Linked DNA regions of Schizosaccharomyces pombe. The protein of the gene in region 4 interacts with the protein of the main gene of each other region in a pairwise test. Each region holds a gene or a part of one and is shown on either strand. Other genes may lie near its edges. The genes, in order: gyp1, SPOM_SPAC30D11.14C, ntu2 and ntu1.

Region 1 (4,840 bases), 3.5 Mb from region 4:
GATCCATTTCTTTCTTATCGCTTAATTTGCGCTCCTAAGCCAGACGTAGAGGTAATAGGCAAAGTCTCCCTTATATAGTAAATATAGTTTGAAAAACAGTCACTGCAAATGCTGTTGTGGTAAGCAGTTGCAAAATCAGCATGAAAAAGCTATGAGTATTGAAATTTAAAAGATAAGAAATTGATCCTATAGTTATAAATAAATGATTTCTTCTTCATGAAAAGTAATACAATGATTCTATAACGCAATGGAACGTGCTTCTTTATTTCAGTTCAAAAACTGTATTAAGTTGTATAAATATTCAAAAATTGTCACAGCGTTTTCATTATCTACTCTAATTCATCCATACATTTTGGTCGAATCAAGGAAGAAGACACAGACCATGTAGTACAGTCTTGTCGATTTTCATCATCTCTTACCAATACAAAAGTCGTACTTTGAAATCGTAATGTACAATCTTGGATAAAACCAAAGAAAACATGACTAGCATAGAAGAGAAAAAAAAATGATATTAATAACGATTCATGTAAAGTATCACGCCATGGACTAAACAATCGTTGAATAGTAAAGTAGTAACGTAAGTCAAACTGGAAAAGGGTTAGAGAACGGTCGAACGTAAGAGTAAAGACAAATTACATATAAGTAATAGTGAATATACAATTTAATTCAAGGGTTAATAACTTCCCAAAAATGATTAAGGTAGTTCAGACTTTCTTCAAGAGAAATACTTTATCCTGCATGATAAATTCTAAAAGTCGCAAACTCAATCCAGCTGAGTTAAGGAGCAAACTTGAAAAGTTATTTAGGTGAATGAAAGGAAAATTTATTAGAAGAAGTAAGACTTAGACTCATAAGCTCATAAACATAGAAAAGCAACACAATGAATTAACGAAGGAGATTTGTCAACCTAATTATAAAAATGCATAGGAAGGATGGCATTTGAAAAAGGCTGCTATGCCAAAATAAGCAAGGGATTAAGGAAGAAGACGAATGCTCTGAAAAGGGAAAACGAAATGGCTACTATGCCTTACCTTTTCAAATGTGCACCAGCTCCACTGTACAATGATTTCCATAGGAAAGCTTCAGATAGTAAAATTTCGATATCCTTTGTGCTCCAATCTTTTGTCGGAATAGACTGCAGAAAAATTAATATATCCTGAAATTCCATCTTTTGTAATTCACTCGACCATTTCACTAAAAATGCAGCACATACGTAGAGGTGAAACTCAGAAAATCCTTGGACACCTTCCGCCATGTATGTATCCCACATCCGAATGATATTCGAAATACTAAGCTCGCGCATTAAAAGACAGTTCATCCAGCGAAAACTAAACTGAAGGAAATCAACACCCTCCATTTGAAGATGTTTTACTAATGGCTCATCTATACGTAAAGTAAGCTCTCGCAGATTATTCACCTGTCGACGGATTCCAGGCTGTGCATGTATATAGTTATCTTGGATACCATCTAACAATTTAGAAAGACACCAGTAAGCATCAGCCTCAATATCATTACGATTAGTTTCATCAAGAAGAGCAATGTCATATGTCATTGGGTCCTTATCGCCGATATATTCGGACAAAAACACCTGAATAAAAGGAGTAACTAAATCGCTGATGCCTTGTACATATCCGCTGGCTGGGTGCCGTGAGGCCCAAACATATAAAATACGCTCAAGCATACGCTGCGTCAATGGGTTTTGGTAAAGAAGAATAGAGGGGTTCGTCCTCGGAACGTCAAGGACAATTTGTCGCCAAATAGTTTGATCCAAAGGTGGTGGCTCTGTATTTGTATTAAAGCAGGAATCTTTTGCTGCGTTATATTCGTCTCTCTTTCGCTTTAAAGTGACTTCACGACGAGAAGCATTACAAGGTAAATATCCTAACAAGTATTTCCAGACAATAGGTCTATGTTCGGAGGGAATTCCATTCCAAGCCAATGTACGAAGCGCATTTAAATCCACAATTGGAGCATCAAGAATTCGCGAAAACTTCTTGATCCGAGAGACAAGCGCATTGCTTTCAGCAACCTCAACTTCTACAGAACGATGGGCTAGTTTAGCGGGTAAAGGAAAACGACCAGACGAATGAAGCTTTTGTCTAGAAGTGGTAGTATCCACGCCATTTTGAGGAAATAAGGAGCGGCTTGAAGAATTTGGAGTAGTACTTCGAGCCATACGAGGAAGAGATTTTGAGGCTTTAATATTCGAAACTCCCCAATCGTCATCTGTCTGTGACAAATATTTGGCAAACTTTGCAGACACTTTTTTGCCTACAACAGCTTCCAAGGAAAGAGAAGATCTCGCAGAAGGTGCATAGATTTTAGACTCACTAGCAGATTCGGGTCTAGTTATGGACCGGGCCAAAGAGATATGATCTTTTGGGGGTTGATCTGAGTAAACAGAGTCGTCCAATCTGAACGGTTGAGCTTTGGAAGAAGTGCTTCGACCACGATGGTGATGGGTCCGGCTTCGATCCAAAACAGTAACTGGATCCGAAGTGGCGCTAGAGGATCCATTCCATAAGCTGGAGAGAGTTTTTAAGGCGGACGACTTTTTTGACTGAGATTCCATAGTGGAAAATCTTAAAATACGAGAAGAAAAATTGTTTTTACAAAATGAAGCAGTAATTTGATAGCCTTGATGGACACAACAAATTTAGCAAATAACAGATACTCTTTGAATTTATCGCCAAAATAAAATACTTTTGGTTAAGATGCAAAAAACAGTTTCAAAATTTGCTGTAAAAAGTAGATGAAACGTTTTAGAAGGCAATAACTTCAAATGTTTAACGACGAAGGATCTTAGGCACCACTCATAGACTTACCGGACTTGAAGTCTTATTCTTTTCTTATCAAATGAAAACTATTTTCAAAAAAAAAAAACTTAAGCTATTAGAAGCAAAGCCGTGTCTGTGGGTTCCATCCAAACGAAAACGCACCAGCTCGAGATCTTGTGATCTATTAGAACAGCGCGGAATTTGAACACGAACAAATGTTTCGAGAAAACCTTAGATACAATCCAATACACTAGTATATTTACAAATTTTAACCGAATATCAACGAAATTGTGAAGATTTACTCGGTCTGTGCAGTTGCCAAGGCAGTTGCCCTTATTTGGTGGAAGAACAAAACAATAGGGAGGAAAACAGTAGGTGTATGGAGTTTCTTATATATGAGGTTTTTTTAATAAAAGGAGCAAGGTTTAATACTTTAATTATTTATCTCACTTTTTAGTTAAAGGAAATTCGTTTTAAGCCATGAACAGTTGATAGAAGGATTTTGGCCGTGCATGGTCTTATTGCTTGGGAATGTTGGGTTTATATGCGCAGAGTAGTAAAAGATACACAGCTAGGTCTCATTTAACAATGTTTATATCTATGAGTTCTATCTCTTCTTTACTTAAGTTGCTGCCAGTAAAAGTGAACAATGTAATTTTGACAATTGTGACTAGTCGCTTTTCAAAACAAAAAAGAGAAAAGTATAAACGTTGATTAAGAAACGTAAAAAAGTATTTCCTGTCAATAATGAATCTCTGATTTTATTGTTATTTTTCGTATTGACATCCTAGTTACCTAATATAATACGATGAATTATAAGCATTTTAATACCTACTAAGTTTAAATTTTCCTGAAATACAGTCTAAGATTTTCCTGTTCCTATATATTTCTAACAAAACACATTTTTCAAGTAGATGATCAACGAATCTAGTCTAACTTTCAATCCCAGTCTTTTTTTTAGCAGTTTCGGGTATTTGTTTTCAAACATGTATTTATATCTTTGATTCAGTAAAATTACTTCAACAAATGCATTGAAGAGGAATGATTTAAAAAACATATACGGTTTTCAATGTTTTAATGAACAGAGCAATTTTCCAAATGTTGTCTTGTCAAGAAATTGTAATGTATGTTCTCCAAAACTGACATGAGAACAAAATAAATATGTACTAAGATAAATTTTATATTGAGAACAATCAAAAATTATAGTAAGTTTAATAATCATCCAAAAAACACTTTCCTTCTCTCGTTTACATCTTGGAAAACACTCTAGAGTATCGTTATTCATTGTGATGAAATCGAAACTACAACTCCAATCCAATAATAAAGGTTACTGTATGACAATAAAATAAACCATACATCTTCCCTTTAAGTCGTATTACGACTTGTAAGAAGATTTCCTGGTTGCCAAAATATCATTCATAGTACACAATAATATTATGTGCAAAGGTATTGAAATGAATAAGTACGAATCAAGGTAAATGATTATTATTCCCAAATGAGCTCAAACAAAAAGCAAAAAGAATAAAAGGAAGCCTACAGCACCCCGGATTCCCATGTTGTCTCCAACCATAGTACTAACGAGGCCCTCAGACGCTTAACTGCAGTGATCGGACGGGAACTGGTGTTTTCGCCTAGGTATGGCCGTAGACGTTTAAAGTAGAATATTTAAACATTTTAAAGAAAAAATTAATAATCAGTCAGAGTACTGTCGATTCACTAGAAATTTTCTATTTATTGTTTATATATTCATACAGTAAGATCGTGAAGTATTCAAATCCTTGGTATATAGAATATTATCTTCATGCATTCAAAGATCGTTTAGGAGCTATTTGTACAAGCTACTTGGTGCATATTTGTCTGTTTATATTGCAAAGTCAAGAATTTTAACATAGAGAAAGAATAAAATGAAATGGAATAAAGAAATGTTAAATAATGTTATGAATCAGACTTGTTCTTGAATTGCTAGTCATAACAACTTCTATAAGACTCAACACGTTTACGCGCTTTTTATGAATGTAATACGTTAGACAAATTAAATAGACAAGTACAGTCTATGTGTCATT
Region 2 (4,355 bases), on a different chromosome or scaffold from region 4:
GATTTTTTGCTAATGCTTTTGTACAGGTAGGTTTACTCCACCGTTATTTCATCCAAACGTTTATCCTTCTGGCACCGTTTGTCTCTCAATACTTAATGAAGAAGAAGGCTGGAAACCGGCAATTACAATTAAGCAGGTAAGAATTCAAATCAATTTCTTAATCTCCAGGTTTTAACCATTTCTAGATTTTGCTGGGTATTCAGGATCTTTTAGATGATCCTAATATTGCCTCTCCCGCTCAAACAGAAGCATATACAATGTTCAAGTAAGTATCATAACTACTGTTTCCACAACCATCAAATATAATTAACCTCGTTTAGAAAGGATAAAGTCGAGTACGAAAAACGAGTTCGTGCTCAGGCTCGTGAAAATGCTCCATAAACTGACTGGTACTTTTTCTTATTTTTTATTGTTTAATATTATTTTTCCTGATGTGTATATTTCTTTGCTTGACTAGTTGAGATAAAATCTCAATCTTATTAGCGGTTTCACAAGTCGGTTGCTTTTTGTTTGTTAGGATAAAAGATTGATACAAGATAATACCACTAATTATTTAAATATGTTTTTTTTAAAAAGTTCATTAAATCAACCACGTCTTAAGTGATAGAATTTACCTCGACAAATTCCTTTAAATCAATTAGAAAGTAAACTATAATTTAATAATTGTATGCCCTCAAAAAATGGTCACTATTTAAATATAGTGTTTTTTTTTTACAACTAAGACAGTAGAATGTACTTTAATAAGCACAATCAAGGTTTCAGAACATTAAGCAACCAAAAATAGTATTTTAATGATCAACAATAAACATTCTTTTTAGTAATGCTCAAACGCTATCTACTGTGGGTGCGATTGATCACCGCTGACACCATGCATTTGAGCATAAATTTGCTGTTGATAATATTGTACATACGCATTGTATCCTCCATAAGCTGCGTACGGATCTACTCCTGGAGTAGTTAAACCAGGCGTACCAGTCCCTGGTGCTTCTGTACCAGGAGCACTAACTCCAGGAGCACCAAACATAGTAGGCATACCCTGTAAAGGCATAGAAGAAGTCGTCGGTACTGCAATAGATGAAGTGACACCAGGAGGCATTGCCATAGCTTCCATTCCTGGAACAGCTGGAATAGATGGTACGGGTAACGATGGTGTTACTAATGGTGCAGGGGAAGCATTAGTTGGTTGAGTTTTTTCTTGTCGTGAGTCTCGTGCGGAGAATGCCTGATTCCGGTTTGGTGGATTGTAGGCACGATTTCCTTGATTTTGATCACGATCTTTTGGTTGTGACTTCCAAGCTTTATACTGTTGGTGGACACTGGCTATTAAATCCTCGCATAAAACCTTAGCTCTTTGGATGGCATTAGGATCGTGACTCATGATGCACAAATGTATAGGTTCGTCTGATTCGCGGTTTGTCGATGGCTCTATGAAAGCAGAACCTTGCCCTTTAATCTGAACACGGGTGCGAGTTTCCTGTTGTATATGCTTTACATATGCTCCCTGTGGGCCAACAATTGCTTGACGTAAATGAAATCCACGACTTGGAGTTAAATTAATATATACTTTTTCTTCTAGCCACTTTCGTCGCGGTTGACCGTTTTCCCCATTACCATTGCCATGCGTTGAAAAATTACGAGGCGAGTTAGAGTTATTCCTTTCATTATCTTCTCGGCGGCGAAATCTTCGCTCGTCGATTAAAGGACCCATGTCTTTATTAATCCAAGATTCAATTTCCTGCAGGGCAACCGTTAGATCTTTCCTGTTATGCGATACTATGTGGAGATAGAGTGGAGGATCCTTGTCAGTAGCTAAAGCTTTATTTGGATAATATCGTCCTTTGGAAAATAATTGCACGCCACTTTTATTCTCGATCTCAGAAAGGGTTGAGGCACGCACCAAAATGTAGCGATTACGCACATTGTTAATTTCAACATCCTGCATAAAGACACCGTCCCCTTCTATAACCTTGCTAGTAATATCGGCCATAGACGGAGGAATATCAACTGCGGGTCCCTCAGAACTTGGAGGAAGTGGAGGAGCAGGTGCACTTGGAGGTGACGCAGATGTCGTTGAGGTTATCCCTTCTGAATGATCATATGAAGTCCTGCTGGACGTTGCTTTTGTACTTTGTAATGATTCGGCGATCCGTCTGGCGGCAGCAGCTGCTGCCTCAGCTCCATTGTTTGTCGGTTCTTCGATTGGCGGATGCGCTGGGGCAAAACCTGATGAAGAAGATTTCCATCTTGAATCTCTAGCAGGACTTCGACTTCGAGAACGCTCTTGAAGGTGTTCTTCTTTGCGATAATATCTTGATTCTCGGGGTGCCTCATTGCCCGACCGCTGTGAATCTCTTCTACTATACGAATCCTCCGTAAACCTAGATCGTCTATCCCGAGAATAATTATCTTCCCGTTGGGAATTTTGTCTTGAATCAGACATGAAACTTAACTTTAGCTATATACGCAAACTGTGTGGACATAGTAGAAGTAGTGCTTATACGAAAAAGTCAAAGAAGGAGGTTGAACGAAGCACGTTATATAATAATTTTTTAAGACAAATGTATGGTGGATGTTTTACATGTTTGAGCAAATGGCAATTTCATATATATATATATATTTATTTATTTGTTTGTTTATTTATCTATTTATAATACATGCAGTCAGCAAAGGCTTAAATTACCTATTTGTACTGCTCTGAAAACAAATTCTATCAGAAGAATAAACTCAATTATAGTGACAAGTTTTTCAATAAAGCATTTCCCACATTCGTAATCGCCTTAGAAAACTGTGAACAACCTCAATTACATCCTTGCCATATACTGTAGAAGGATCCACATTCTTTGCTAAGACATTATCTTCATGATAGCGAGCTTCGTTCCGTGTCATAGCTACAAGATTGGTGTGATCAAAAGGTAATTGTGGGTTCCATCGAACAACAGTGACTTTTTGAGACTCATGCGGGGGAAGAGCGCTTCTACCAACGTAAACCTCCTCAATGATATATGACATCTCAGATGCATTAAAAGTTTTATCTAGGTTTACTCCAGCTTTGCGAGCTTCAGCATGTAAACGTTTAACAGCCTCTTCGTATAAGCGAGGACGCGTCATGGTAGAAATGGGATCCATAGGGTATTTAGCAATAGAAGTCAAAACATAAGTAGCAATTGTAAGTCCAAAAATACCAGGCATAGGTCCTATTACAGGAAGAATACGAGCACGGAATTCGGGTAAAGCACTCAACTCATCAACGTCTCCTTTTTCAAACTCTTCCTCAGAGAGAGGTAACAAACTTGCTTTTCTAGGATCTGGTTTTTCAGTAGAAAATACGACAGGAATACCTTCCATAATACCAAGGAGACGCAACCTACGACGAGTAGCTCTTGATAAAGGATCTTCAGAAGTAGCTGATATATCTGCTATGTTAACACGAGTCGGATCAGATTTGCATGCAGACCCGGTAGAAGCAATTACGGGAAGTTTGTGGTTGTAGCAATAACTTAATAAATCAACTTTAGTTTGGATGTTATCTATAGCGTCGATTACAAAATCAGGATTGCCAGACAAAAGATCGTCGGCGGAGTCGGGATTGAAAAGTGCGTTACGAGCATCTACTTCAATCCAAGGGGCAAATTTTTTAATCGCCTTTTTTATAGCAAGAGTCTTTGGAGTACCAACATCTTGCAACGTGGCTATGGAATGACGATTTAGGCTACTAAGAGATACTTGATCAAAATCGACAATTCTAATTTTTTGCACACCAGAGCGTGCAAGCATATTAATCACCCAGCTTCCAACACCACCACAGCCTACGACGATAACAAAAGAGTTGCGCAGACGCTCCATACCGTCTTCTCCAAAAAATGCATAATTTCGAGCCAGCTGTTCACGTATCAGATTTTCATCGTACGGAACGCCTTTGCTTATTCCTTCATCCTCTTCCCCAGCATCATAAATTTCTATAGGTACACCAGAAGAAGAAAGTTGAATACTTTTACCAGCTTCAGGAACAATCATCGACTGTAAGCGACGAATTGAGCGATGTTTACGAAACTCCAACGTTCCAAGGATTACGCATGCTGTCGTTACAGAAGAGGAGACAGCAATCCAAAAGGATTTATACGTTATCCACGAAGGGACTTTGAAACCTGCCATAATGCTAGTAAAATCAAATAGAAAGAAAACTTCGACTTGCAGCGTTTCCATTTTCTTTAAGTGACAAGTTGCCTTAACATTAGTGCAATCGGTCTTTGCAACAGTAATTGCAGCCTATAATGATTAAGGTATTAGAAAACGGCATTTACATTATTCAATTTAATGAAATAAAAACAAGTCGTGTTTGTCTCTATGCTGATAAA
Region 3 (5,912 bases), 3.4 Mb from region 4:
CCGCACCGTCTGTCATAACCTACGTTGGCAATCTGAACGATTGCGCTTTCTTCTTTGAATGGAAAACGATTCATGCTTGCCCAACAGTGAAGAAGGACTCCACCTTAAATCCTGTATCTGTATTCCTTCTGTTCTGTGCTATTGCCTTTTTAGCTTACTTCGTTGGAGGATTTGTATATCAAAGGGTAGTACTTAATGCACGCGGACTCCGCCAAATTCCCAATTATGAGATGTGGCGCTCTCTATTTGGTTTCATTTCGGTATGTTTGCATGATCTGGTTTATCCATTTCATAAATAAAGCTAATTTTCTATTTTTCCTTATTTACTAACAGTTATAATTTAGGACATAGTGATCATCCTTTATTCTTCCATTCTTTCGATTTTACCCTCAAGTATAACGAGGATGAGAGGCAATAGGAGGAATATAGATTATGTAGAGGACGCGCTTATTGATGATATTGATACGTAAATAAAAATATGTTGGAACTATTTTCTACCTTGCCAGACTGTTCGACATTACCCATTAAGTCTAGTATTTTTACCCTACTCATTAAAAAAAAATTATAGTTACTCAACAAAAGATCTAAATAGCAGTCGTTTACAAAGTCACATTTTCGTGCTTTGTTTTTGGAATATTGTATATATACATTTATTCATATTATCCATGTAAGCCGTAAGTAAATCCTGATTACGAATAATTATGGTGTAGATTTTAACTATTTTGCGAGTCTTTCATAACGTTTTGAGAAAAATGCTCCAAGATTGATGCAGGATCAATATTTACAGTCGGATTAAAGGGTGTGCTATTGTTAAGTGAACTCGACTCTCTGGATTTTCCGTCAGACACATCAGGATCCACTAAACCAAAAGCTTCATTGATTATATCCGAATTTTCCTGCATACTTTCTGCTACAGGATCCACTGCCAGCAGTTCGTTAGGGATCTGAAATTCTTCTTCCAATGGTACATCACTGCGTGAAATGTAAAACGAGGGGTGATGGATTGAAACAGCCTGTGTATGGTAATTTAGCATGCTTGATAATGTGTTGATATCGATAAAAGAATCTTCATTCATGTTGTATGCTTGATAAGGTATTGTTCCTATGTTTCCATCAAAAACGGATTGTTGTTGTCCCTCCGTCTCAACTTGTGGTAATTGAGTGTTAGAATTGCTCTCTTTATCTATCGATTGTTGAGGCCCATTATTAATAGGAACATTCGATTCCGATTCAAATACTTGAGGAGCTTTTGTTGGTGACATCTGTTTATATCCATCCGCATTGGATTCGAGAATCTTCATGAGTGACTCTCTCATTTTGTCAATCAATGGTAAAAGTCTTCTGGTGACGCATTCGTGAGCCAATGCTTCTATTGATTCTCGGGCGACAGAAATATGAATCAGTAAGTTGGTATTTTTAGTTAAAAGAGCTGCAAAAATAAGTGTAACAATTGTGCTAAATCCACAATAAACGGTAGTCCAGTAATATCTGTCTAACGTACGTTTAAGACCCTTGGAAAGGTGACTTAAATTTTGAACACATACAATAGCAGAGTCGACGCATTTACACGCCAAAGTGAAGGCGGTTTGTCGATCTGGCACCTTAAGTGCTTGCATTGCTGGACTGTCAGCTTCAAGGTAATGTAGGAGAGGTCGGTAGATTAACATTCTAAAAGAATAATACACCAACTGTAAGTTGTAGAAAAAATGATTTGCCTGAAATTCTCCAGGTTGCTCGGCCCTAAAAACTCGGGGAAGAGAATTGTAAAAACCATCCAATAGTTGCTCCAAATCTTGGATTACAGCATATGAAATGTGCTTCTTTGTTACGTTTCGTGAATTTGGGGAATATAGCTTGGTCAATATACGACTTGAAATCTTGTAAAGCTTCACACCATGAAAGAAAAACAATCGTGCGTTTGCTTCAATTTCCGTTACCGATGGGAACTTTGGTGTTACAGGTAAACACTGATCAATGTCTTCATCACGAACACCCAACGGAAATCCAAACAAAGTACACAACTGCCGGTCATAACAGTAAATTGCCCAGAAAATACGTCTTCTGCTATCAATTTGTTCCTCCGTAAATCCTTCTGTAATATTTCTATGTAGACCTAACCTAAGACAGCAATTCAAACCTAGTTTCATGTAATACCAGGCAGCGCTAATTTCGGTTCGGCAATACCGATAAATACTAAGAATTAAGAGACATTGGATGCTTTCAATAGTAAAGTTATCCGCGGATTTCACTAATCGTTCGCTGTAAAAACTGTACTTTTTGATTAAACTTTGTAACTCGGTGTTACTGGGGTTATTAAGAAGATGATGATAGTAACCTACACACAAAATAGATAAAAATAGTGGAAAAAAGTTGCCTTGATAATTACCGGAATATAAAAGACGAATCTTTTTGGGGAAATCGGCATAGGTCGTATAAAAAACGATACCGCTAACGTAGCTAACAGCGGCTTTAGTGATACACAAGGCCTCTTCAATTCCTGGGAGCTGAATCTCACGAGGATCAACGCTAGACACCATAAAGTCGATGCTGAATCTAGGAGTAGGAGTAAAGAATTGGTATTCAGGATCATTATCATCGAATTGAATATTTTTATTGCCCAAAGGGTAGGCTGAGTAAGGCTCACATATTTCGAAATCGCCGGGTAAGCGTCGAATAAGATGTTGGATGAGGACGTGAATTGAAGAACCACCACGAAAATATCTAGTTCCATGCTTCGCGTCAACGAACAAATTGCCATAATTAATCATGGAAGTAAAGATTACCTTTCGTTCTGGTGACATGTTTTCAAGCTCGTTAGTGGCTTGAAATTTTTGTTCCCTCAAAAAGAAGAGGAAACTGGGTGAGTTAGAGGAGAGATCAAAGTTTGTATTTTTCTTCAACAGCGTTTCCAAATACCGAACGCGGGATTCCAAATTTTCCACATACTCGGGCGAAAATGAGGACTTTCGAGAGGAAGGCATGTGATAAGTACACTCTAATTTGCCAGCTTTGCAATTCTTACAAGGACGCAAACCATCACACTTGATTTTTTTACGACGACACATATCACAAGCCCGAGTGACACGTCGTCGTCGGGTAGCCACTTTGGCGCCTTCAAGAATCTTGCTTTCGGTTTCCTGACTATGAGATTCATTATCCATTTTGGGACATCCTTTTAATAAACAAAAAATGTAAATAAAGAGCGAAATATAAAAAAAAACTTTTTCAAGTAGTAAAAAGAAACGTCAACACGGGAGATGTAGTTGGAGAAATATGAGCCACAGACAGAGACTTTGTACGGTATAGAGAACGATGGCAAAGTATTATTGAAAAAGGTGAAGTTCAATGGGGGCAGATCAACAGAGTTATGCAATTAAGAATAAAGGGGATGGGACACTATCCAAAAAGAAGGAAGAGTGAAGAAATTGAAAATTAATGTGTGAATGAAGAGAGGTTGGTTGATCTACAAGGGATAACCAAATTAACAAAAATATGGAAATTAAATAAAAGTTTTACAGCAGGTATACCAGCGGTGTATATCCTTGAAACAATTACGAATTTATAATCAAGTCAAAGTGATCTCTAATAATGCAAGCGGACAAGGAAATAATAACAGTATCGATGAAATTCAATTCGTTTTAGCAAAATTACAAAGTAAATGAAAAAAGAAGTGAAAACCAAAATTCAAAAATAATGAATACACAATAAACTCCGTCAACAATCCGGTCTATCGTACTAACTCAACGCATTCAAACGGGTGCTAGAACAAATTTCTGCAATCTAACCGGTATGCCAGGTGAGCAACTCTAGTTCCGTTATTATCGATTATTTCTTCAGAACGCATTCAGATACGGCTTAAACGTATGCAAGATTCGCTTTCCTTCGGCTCGCGAGGATTGGGCCTGGAGAGGTACGTTGTCGGTAAGATTATTTTTGAATGGCAAATAGTGAAACCTCGCTGATTTTAAGGTGGTATTTTAACGAAAGCGGGTAACACAAGGTTTGTCACCTTGAAGGAACTATCCCCCCGGCACTGGAATAAGCACAGCATGGGCGAAACCCAAAGCTCAGTATAGCCGAAAGTCGGTGCACACCCGACATCTAAGCCATCCGTAGTTTTTGTAAGAGAGATAGATTATAAAATGTAGAAGAAAAGAAAGTAAAGATGTGTTGGTAAAGCTCAAGAAAAGCACGGATTACTTTTCGGTACCAAGAGCCAATTATCGTATATAGGCTTATTTATAAGAGAATATAGTAATATTATATTCTGATGTGCAATTTGTTGGTTCTAAATAAGCTCATCATATCAAAATTTCTTTTCTTTGGGCTAGTGCCGAAAAACCAAGGGAAGAAGTGATATTGAAAAGCATAAAGTAATTTAAAAGAATGTAGATAATTAGTTTTGGTATGCTTAATATCGAGATTAACTGTATCGAATTTCAGGACGTGCAGTTATCAGATCATTGATTTAATAGTCATCTACTAACTCTTAAACGCTTAAATGTATTCTGGATAATTACCTTTAACGTTGCTTGCGTACTTTTTTCTAAGGTCATTTGCAGTACATGGTTGAATTAAGCAAACTACTTTTCTCATGATATTTTGCGTTTAAAGTACTTTACTTGAAGCCGGAAATTTGAATGCGAGGCCAGCTGGCCTGGAAACTTTTAGCCGAATTTCTACATATATATAAATTTGGTTATTTGGGAAATGTTTTTTTAACAAAGTAAAAAAAAATAAGCTAGTGTTGAAACTTTTTACTATTTTCACACATCCATAATTTCATTTGCTTATTACAGATCTACTATATCAAAATTTCAAACCAAGGAGCTACTTTAAGACAGTGATTTTTTCTTTTTTTTAATCATATCCATTGTTCGTTTTAGTTCATCTGCTTACCAATGGATCCTTATACAGTTGCAATAATCAAGAAACTCGGAATCGAGGAACAAGTCGAAACTGCTGCGACAAAGTCCCCATTTATCGAAGGTTTGGCTAACGGTACTGCTCCTCCTGGCGCATTTAAACGGTGGCTATACGAGGATCGAATTTATGTTCAAGGTTGTTCGTTGTGTCTTGCCAAAGCCATAAACGCCATCACTCATGAGAAGGGATTTCCCAAGGAAGCATTAGATCTTTTTTTGGGTGCATACAATGTTATCACTCCTGAGCTTGCTCATTTTGAGGCAAGATGCAAAGAGAGCAACGTGGAAATGCCCAAACTCAAACCCGTCCCAACTTCATGGGAACAAGCGTTGCAAGATAACAAGCCTGAAGAATACTATCATCTTTCTGCTCCAGATTGTAAATCATATATTCAATTTATGACTCAGGAGCTTTTCGAAATTCCAGGTACCTCTGGAATTGACTACTTTATGGCATTTTACTTGAATGAAGTAATATACCATAGAGCATGGAAATTTGTTCGTGAATCTAAGCAATTCCAGAAAAACTGCCCAGAAGAAATGGAATTTGTCAAGTGGTGGGGTCAGCCTTCTTTTGGTAAGTTTGTAGAAAATCTGGCTCGCAGCATTCAAGACGTCCCTTTTACCTCTGCTACTGTTGACATTGCCAAGAAAATTTGCAACTTTGAGTATCGATTCTTCAGTACCGCGTTTGAAAAGGCTTAGTTGAATTAATTGACAACATTTTAACTCCTTTTTTCTGATATCACATTATTTTACGTGCCCTTTGATCAGCATTGATCGTCAATCGAATGATTCCTTTTTTTAATTTTTTTGATTAAATGTGTAAAGTCAGTGTATATATCTTGTCAGTACATTAATGAACAAGTGTTCGTCAGCATAGTCATTACATACATAATTTATGTAAAAAATTTGTAACTTCAGTTTCGCTGCATGCAGTCCGTTTTTGCTTATCGTCCTATGAATTTTTAAAGCTTCCCAAATGAT
Region 4 (6,233 bases):
GGACTGCTTGCTCGTTTACTCCATATGTACATGATTCTTCACTCTCTTTACATCGAGAACAAGGATATTGGCGGTCACATTTGACTTTTCGGCGCCTGCATCTCAGACAAGATCTAGCTCGAATATTTTTGTGGGCCCTATTTTTAGATTTCCCAACCATAATTTACCTAATTACGGTATTTCTTCTGTAGTAGAAAGTTGGATATTTCTATAAAATACAATTCACCATAAAAAATTATACGCACAAACTAAAGGTTTCATTCAGTATTAACCTGATAACCATCGAACTTTTAAGCTGGGATTATGCTTCAATTGAATCGATGAGACTACTAATATTTTACTGCAAACATTTTTATGAATGCAAAGGCGGTGTCAACGTTGTGTGGTGGTAAATATTGAGTGTGCAGGCTTAATTATTTAAATTCTTCAACGTCTAAAATACAGTGTAAGCATCAGATCTCGATACCATTTTTTTCGCAGAGCTTTTATTTAGAAGATTTTTATAGGGATCATTTTTTTAGCCTAGATGCCAAAGGTACTCAACAATACGTTCCACAGTTGGGTTTGCAGTTGCTTACAAAATAAACAGCTAATTGTCATTTTAGTAATTATACATTCCATCGTGAAAGAAAATGCACACTATTAAAGTTTTTAGTTCATCAATTGCTTTGCAGTAATCCATTATAATGTAGAACTTCAACGTAACTTTACTCCAAAATTTTTAGCTTTTAACACTACTTGGTTATTCATTGCTGATAATAATGCGCGTAAATATCACTAGCTAATGGACATGAAGCAGTAGGCTAACTCTCTAAGCTTGATCAAAAGATCAAAAAGCAAATCTATCACAAACATCTAGGAAGACAGATAATCTAGATATTCAATCGTTCTATTATTCAATAAACATAAAAAGCTAATCATCAACCAAACAAAATATCACTTAATTAAAAGGAACAAAAAATAAGTTTTTTAAAAATGTCAATGTTTTTTCTCATGAGCAAACCCTAAAAGTTGGAGCTAGAACCCTTATTAAAGATAAAAAGTGAAGCAAGAATTATTGCAGAAAAAAAAATTTTGAAAACAAAAGTGAGTTTCTATGCTTAACAACATTGATCGCTCACTCGGTTCTTTTAGAGTTTGAGGAACTTGGATGGTCAGGAGAATTATTAGAACCATCTCGGACAGTAGGATAAGCAACTTGGTTAGTCATGGAAGGTGGTTGAATGAAGGGATACGGCATGCCAGATTTTGCAGCTCCAGGTGCCATCATAACCCCTGAAGTAGGCAGTGGTAGCATTTGTTCTGACAAGGGAAAAGGCGGGTGCTGGTAAGGATACTGTGAATATGCTTGGAAAGCCTGAGGCATATTCGAAGTTGGACTCATGTATGGAGGGTATGAAGTATTATACGGGAAAGGTACTGGAGAATAGGTGTTCGGAACATAAAAACCATTCGCTGTTGGCATTGAAGAACCATAATTAATCATAACCCTATCATGAGGGTATACATTACCATCAGAATAGGAAGGATATCCGTTTTGTCTAGGATAAGATTGATCCTGTGTACGCCCACCATACGTAGGCATAGGGAAATTTGTTGGTGCATTTTGAAACTGGGCAGGATTATAGTAACCTGGGTAAGGAGCATCTGAATAAAATATTTGTGCTTGCGGAAACTCTCTAGGTATATTACTAGTTCTCTGCGAAAAGTTGTTTGGTAGTTGTCCTGTAACATCCGGGGTCGCATCCAAATTTTCAGTACCAGATGAGTTCATATCATACGCAATTAGCAAGTTCTTGATTGCCTCCATTATTGTACTATAGTAAGTGGATTCGCGGTATATCATTTGTAGACAATGAAATCCTAATCTTGCCTTAGTTATGAAATTATTAGATTTATTGGCATCGTCCTTCGTCAAAGTAGCACAATATGTCAAGGTCATTAACGCGTAGTATCCAGAATACAAATTGAAAAACAGTTTGGGAGTATTTGGAGATTTGGCCAATTCCTGTAACAAAAAAACAACACGCTCCGCAGATTGTGCACACTTTAAAGCAAAATTTGCAGGTTTCATTGGCGACCCATTCTGATTATCAATTGGTGTACTAATACTGTGAATAAAAGGGCGATAGAAAATGAGTTCTATTTGCCTGAATTTCAATTCCAGTATTATTGCTTGGATCCATTTGGGTGAAAATTTTGGAACTTCGCTCATTTTTAAATAAGAAGGTAAGTTTTTCCACCAATATGTAAGTTTTTCTTCATGATCACGAACAGCTGGTAATGAAACTTTACAGTGTGAGTCAGAGGGCGATTTGACTGGATACACTTTCCTTACAAAATGACTTAAAATACGAGAAAGCGTTATGTGTTGTATAAAAACTTCCAAGCTAGTGCATTCTGATGCTATTAATCGTGGAGGAACCTGGTCATTTTCTAATGTGAAATCAAAAGAATTGGGTAACGATTGATCAATATCAACGTCCTCAATACTGAGAGGAAGACCAACAATTGTACTGGTGTAACAAGCCAAAACGTACACAGAATAAAATACCCGTTTGGATAACCGAGATTCATGAGATGTGAGAACGTCTGAAAAATCCTTGTGCAATCCCAATTCGTGGCAACACAATAACGCATTATTCGTGAACGTATAAGCTTGAGAAAGTCGGGAACTGAACAAAGCAAAAAGCGCAACAGACAATAAAATTTGCACAACTTCAATCGTATAACTATCTTCCCATGAAAATGAAGACCGAATGTAATAGTAATACTCGTAAGCTTCATGATAAGGATAGTTAGCACTAGGAGATTCATCGGGCATATAGGTGTAACCCAAGCACAATGTAGCGACAAGTAAAAAATGAAAATTGTTATCAGTCTTGCCAGTTTTGTAATACATATGCATCTTCTCAAAGAAAGATGCAGGATGATGAATATGTACCAAAAAATGGTCATTCATAAAAAATTGGCTAACAATAGAAAGAGCCTCCTCATATGGAGGTAGCTGAATTTTGAGAGGCGGTTTTTTATGTTCATCTTCGGCAGGGGTGGGTGGAAGATACGGAAAAGATAAAGGATCTGGCTGAGAAGAAGATGAATTAGATTCTTGGACAGGATTGGGAACCGTAGAATTCCTCGCAATGTTTTGATGTATATTTTTCATAAAGACAAAGCCAGAGGAACTTCCACGAAAGTCGGCTTTCCCATCATCTTTTAAACTCAATTGTCCATACCGGTCGAATAAGCTTTCAAACTCGTCCTGTGACGAGCTTCTTTTAGAGGAATCAGAGCGTTTCCAAGGAGATTGGTTCACAGGAGAATCTTTGTCATTTGGAGGAGCCAGAAATGATGGCAACTTTAAATTTGGATCGCTTTCTTCAGCCAGTCCCCTCAGATATTTCAATCGAAGCTCCAAAAATTCTATATACTTCTCAGGAGCATGCCGTAATCGCTTAAAAGGTTGACCATAAGTACATTCTTCAACAAAGTTAGAAAACTCCATCCAATTATAATAGAGGCTTGAAATAAATTTTAAAGCGACTAAACTTGAAGAAAATAATCTCATCTAAATTGTAGGCACTTACCATAGTTATATGCTATGCAATTCGAGCAAGGCTGAAAAAGTTAGTAAAGAACAGAAATTTATATTTATTTCTAATCGCTCATCCAAATTAATGCAAATAAGATAGAAAAAGAGCAATAAAAGCCAAAAAAATAATAAATTAACGACAAAGGTTATCCGCATGCTCTCTAGCTGAACTGAAATCAATCAAGCTACAATCAACTTCAGAGAAAGCGGTAACTGGGTGAAGTGAGTTCTCAGTTCCCAACTCAAATAATAAAATTATGCAAAACATAAATAGAGCAAAGAAATTGACATCTTACCCTTCTCTGATCACATTTGATCTTTCTCCTGTGACATTCATCACATGCTCTAGAAACACGCTGTCTACGAGATACATCGCCGGAAGACATTCAGCAGCCTATCAATAAACTATGTTGAAGCCTGCTAACTTCAAACTTGAGGGAGAACAGGTCTTTTAATTTGTATTTATCGAATCGTTGTTACCGGTTTTTACAACCGAAAGTTAACGCAAGTGAGCAAAAATGCAGTTTATCATTCAAAATTTAACGCTTTGAAACTAAAGGAATTTGGTGCTTTAGATAGGTAAATAAATAAATAAATGGTGATCGCTGCGAAGCGATTATGGATGATATACGCGACAGGTTAAACCTACGAGAGTGTGTGCCAGCGATCGTATACATCCGCTAAATAGTAATTACTCGTTACTTCACGTTAGCATACATGTGTAGGTGAAGCAATGAGATTATACCATGCTAAATGTTTTTGTTGCGGTATGTTAAATATCGTTATAAGCCTGACATCTTCACGTGTGAGTTCTCCAATGAGTCCTGAAGCTGGAACCATCAAGCCGTTTATTGACTATTTTCAATATTACTGAAGAAAAAAGTATGGGAAATAAAGATCATTCAAGATCAAGTTTGTCTGTTCATGTAAGCCACATATTATTTATTATAATATCAAAGTCTCTCCGTGCCTGAGTTATGTTCGGTAACTGTATATTGCATAATACTTTCTGTTGTGTACCACACATTATAGTGCGCTACGAACTCACCAAATAATATTACGTATCCTACAGAGACTTCGCGAATCGCGTAGTTAGTAAAAATATGGAAAATAACGTGAGTAAACAGTTGAGCGTTAATATTGCAGCCACACAAAATCGGTTGATTGAAAGCGAAATAATGATTCGGAATTTCCATAAAACACAATTAATACTCTTAGTGTATTCATGTAATAGCTTGTACAGTTCTCAAAATAAATCTTCAGTAGACACGTTTTAAATAATAGGGTAATTACTAGGATATGCACGCGACCGTTAGACGCCATTACATGTGCAAAAAACACTGAGTGCTGAAAAGCTAAAATTATTACAAGTCTTGCAGAGTTATGATTGTTTGAGTTTTTTTTTTTTATAAGTTAATCCTACGCCAATATATTAAGAGGATTTTTTTAACTGCTTAGTATTTAAAAAAGTATATCGAAGATCCGGTATCTTGATTGTTTACAAAAATATAAATAGCAACGATAACAAAGACGCATTGTTGACAAAAATAAAAAATGTACAAATATTTAGAAAAATGTATATTTTAATTTCTATGTATCTAAAATGATGGTCAATATTAGTTATACCGTGAAGCGCTGGCAACGGAAGGTAAACGAATGTTGACAACAACAAACGAGTGTAAATAAACACACACCAACAGCACAATTGCTGTAGAAAGGAAAAATGACTGTTCGCAGACTCGAAAGCAAGTCTGAGCATATATCAGATGACGAGGAGAGAAAAGAACAGTTAGATTACAAAAAGCAAATGGATGTAGACACAGATCGTAACATTGTATTGAATGGTCGCCTGGAATCCCAAATTGCGAAGTTGTCCGTTCCACCTCACGAAATGAGAGTGGTCGATGATTATTCGAACAGTAAAAATGCGGAAAGACACTCTGGAGAAATACAAGCTTATGCGAAATTCGCTGGAAGTACATGGACTTATTATGTTAAGAAAATTCGAATTATACTTGGTCGCGAACCAGCAAATCCTTCACCAAAGGGGAAAAATGAAGATTTAGAAGTAATTGATATGAATTTTGGTCCTTCTAAAGTTGTGAGTCGAAAACACGCTGTTGTGGAATATGATTTGGATGACCAAACATGGAATTGCTCAGTTTACGGTCGAAATGGCATTAAAGTAGATGGCAAGTTATTCAAGAATGGGGAAACAGTCAAGCTTACAAGTGGGTATGTTAAAAATCATTTACTAGAATAGTGTTGGTTCGTCGTGATTTGCGACAGGACGGAATATTGATGGTTTCAGCAGCGCATAATTTATGCTTTACTCTTTCATAAGTTCTATGGTTTTCTCGTGTTATTTGTCAATTTTAAACGAATGTTTGGTTATTTTATAAATGCGCGTTAAGGATTTGTCAAATTATCAAGAAAATAATTATTTCCGTCCTAGTTCAAATAAATGCAGGAAATTATGCCAATTATTTTTTTTTATTTCTTTTTCGTCTTACTAATTATCTACTAGATCTATACTCGAAGTAGCGGGTTTACAAATGATGTTCGTACTACCCAATGCAGCTGAGCAAAAGCAAACTGACGAAAGCACTATAAAGGAGGATGCTATAAAGTCTGAAATTTC

The links.
Region 1: the proteins of ntu1 (region 4) and gyp1 interact in a two-hybrid assay, tested with the Schizosaccharomyces pombe proteins (one large-scale study listed by BioGRID).
Region 2: the proteins of ntu1 (region 4) and SPOM_SPAC30D11.14C interact in a two-hybrid assay, tested with the Schizosaccharomyces pombe proteins (one large-scale study listed by BioGRID).
Region 3: the proteins of ntu1 (region 4) and ntu2 interact in a two-hybrid assay, tested with the Schizosaccharomyces pombe proteins (one large-scale study listed by BioGRID).

The regions. Positions count from the first base shown.
Region 1 is NC_003423.3:782,845-787,684, reverse strand, and holds gyp1 (GTPase-activating protein Gyp1), read right to left. Parts: upstream 3,120-4,840; 5' UTR 2,573-3,119; coding exon 1,028-2,572; 3' UTR 540-1,027; downstream 1-539. Other genes in the region: SPOM_SPBC530.02 (transporter), read right to left, coding at 1-7. UniProt on the Schizosaccharomyces pombe protein: Stimulates specifically the GTPase activity of ypt1. Functions on the Golgi as a negative regulator of ypt1.
Region 2 is NC_003424.3:1,090,526-1,094,880, reverse strand, and holds SPOM_SPAC30D11.14C (RNA-binding protein), read right to left. Parts: upstream 2,494-4,355; 5' UTR 2,441-2,493; coding exon 836-2,440; 3' UTR 502-835; downstream 1-501. Other genes in the region: small ubiquitin-like modifier-conjugating enzyme Hus5, read left to right, coding at 27-136, 186-265, 321-381; tcd1 (Moeb/ThiF domain-containing protein), read right to left, coding at 2,746-4,152.
Region 3 is NC_003423.3:804,083-809,994, reverse strand, and holds ntu2 (membrane-tethered transcription factor), read right to left. Parts: upstream 3,921-5,912; 5' UTR 3,162-3,920; coding exon 714-3,161; 3' UTR 551-713; downstream 1-550. Other genes in the region: mrl1 (cation-dependent mannose-6-phosphate cargo receptor), read left to right, coding at 1-260, 345-470; SPOM_SPBC530.07C (TENA/THI family protein, domain found in context with a broad range of enzymes), read left to right, coding at 4,902-5,630.
Region 4 is NC_003423.3:4,241,745-4,247,977, reverse strand, and holds ntu1 (regulatory protein ntu1), read right to left. Parts: upstream 4,234-6,233; 5' UTR 3,979-4,233; coding exon 3,889-3,978; exon of another isoform or gene 3,821-3,888; intron 3,619-3,820; coding exon 3,588-3,618; intron 3,481-3,587; coding exon 1,118-3,480; 3' UTR 552-1,117; downstream 1-551. Other genes in the region: SPOM_SPBC16G5.17 (transcription factor), read right to left, coding at 1-160; DNA-binding forkhead transcription factor Fkh2, read left to right, coding at 5,316-5,827, 6,120-6,233.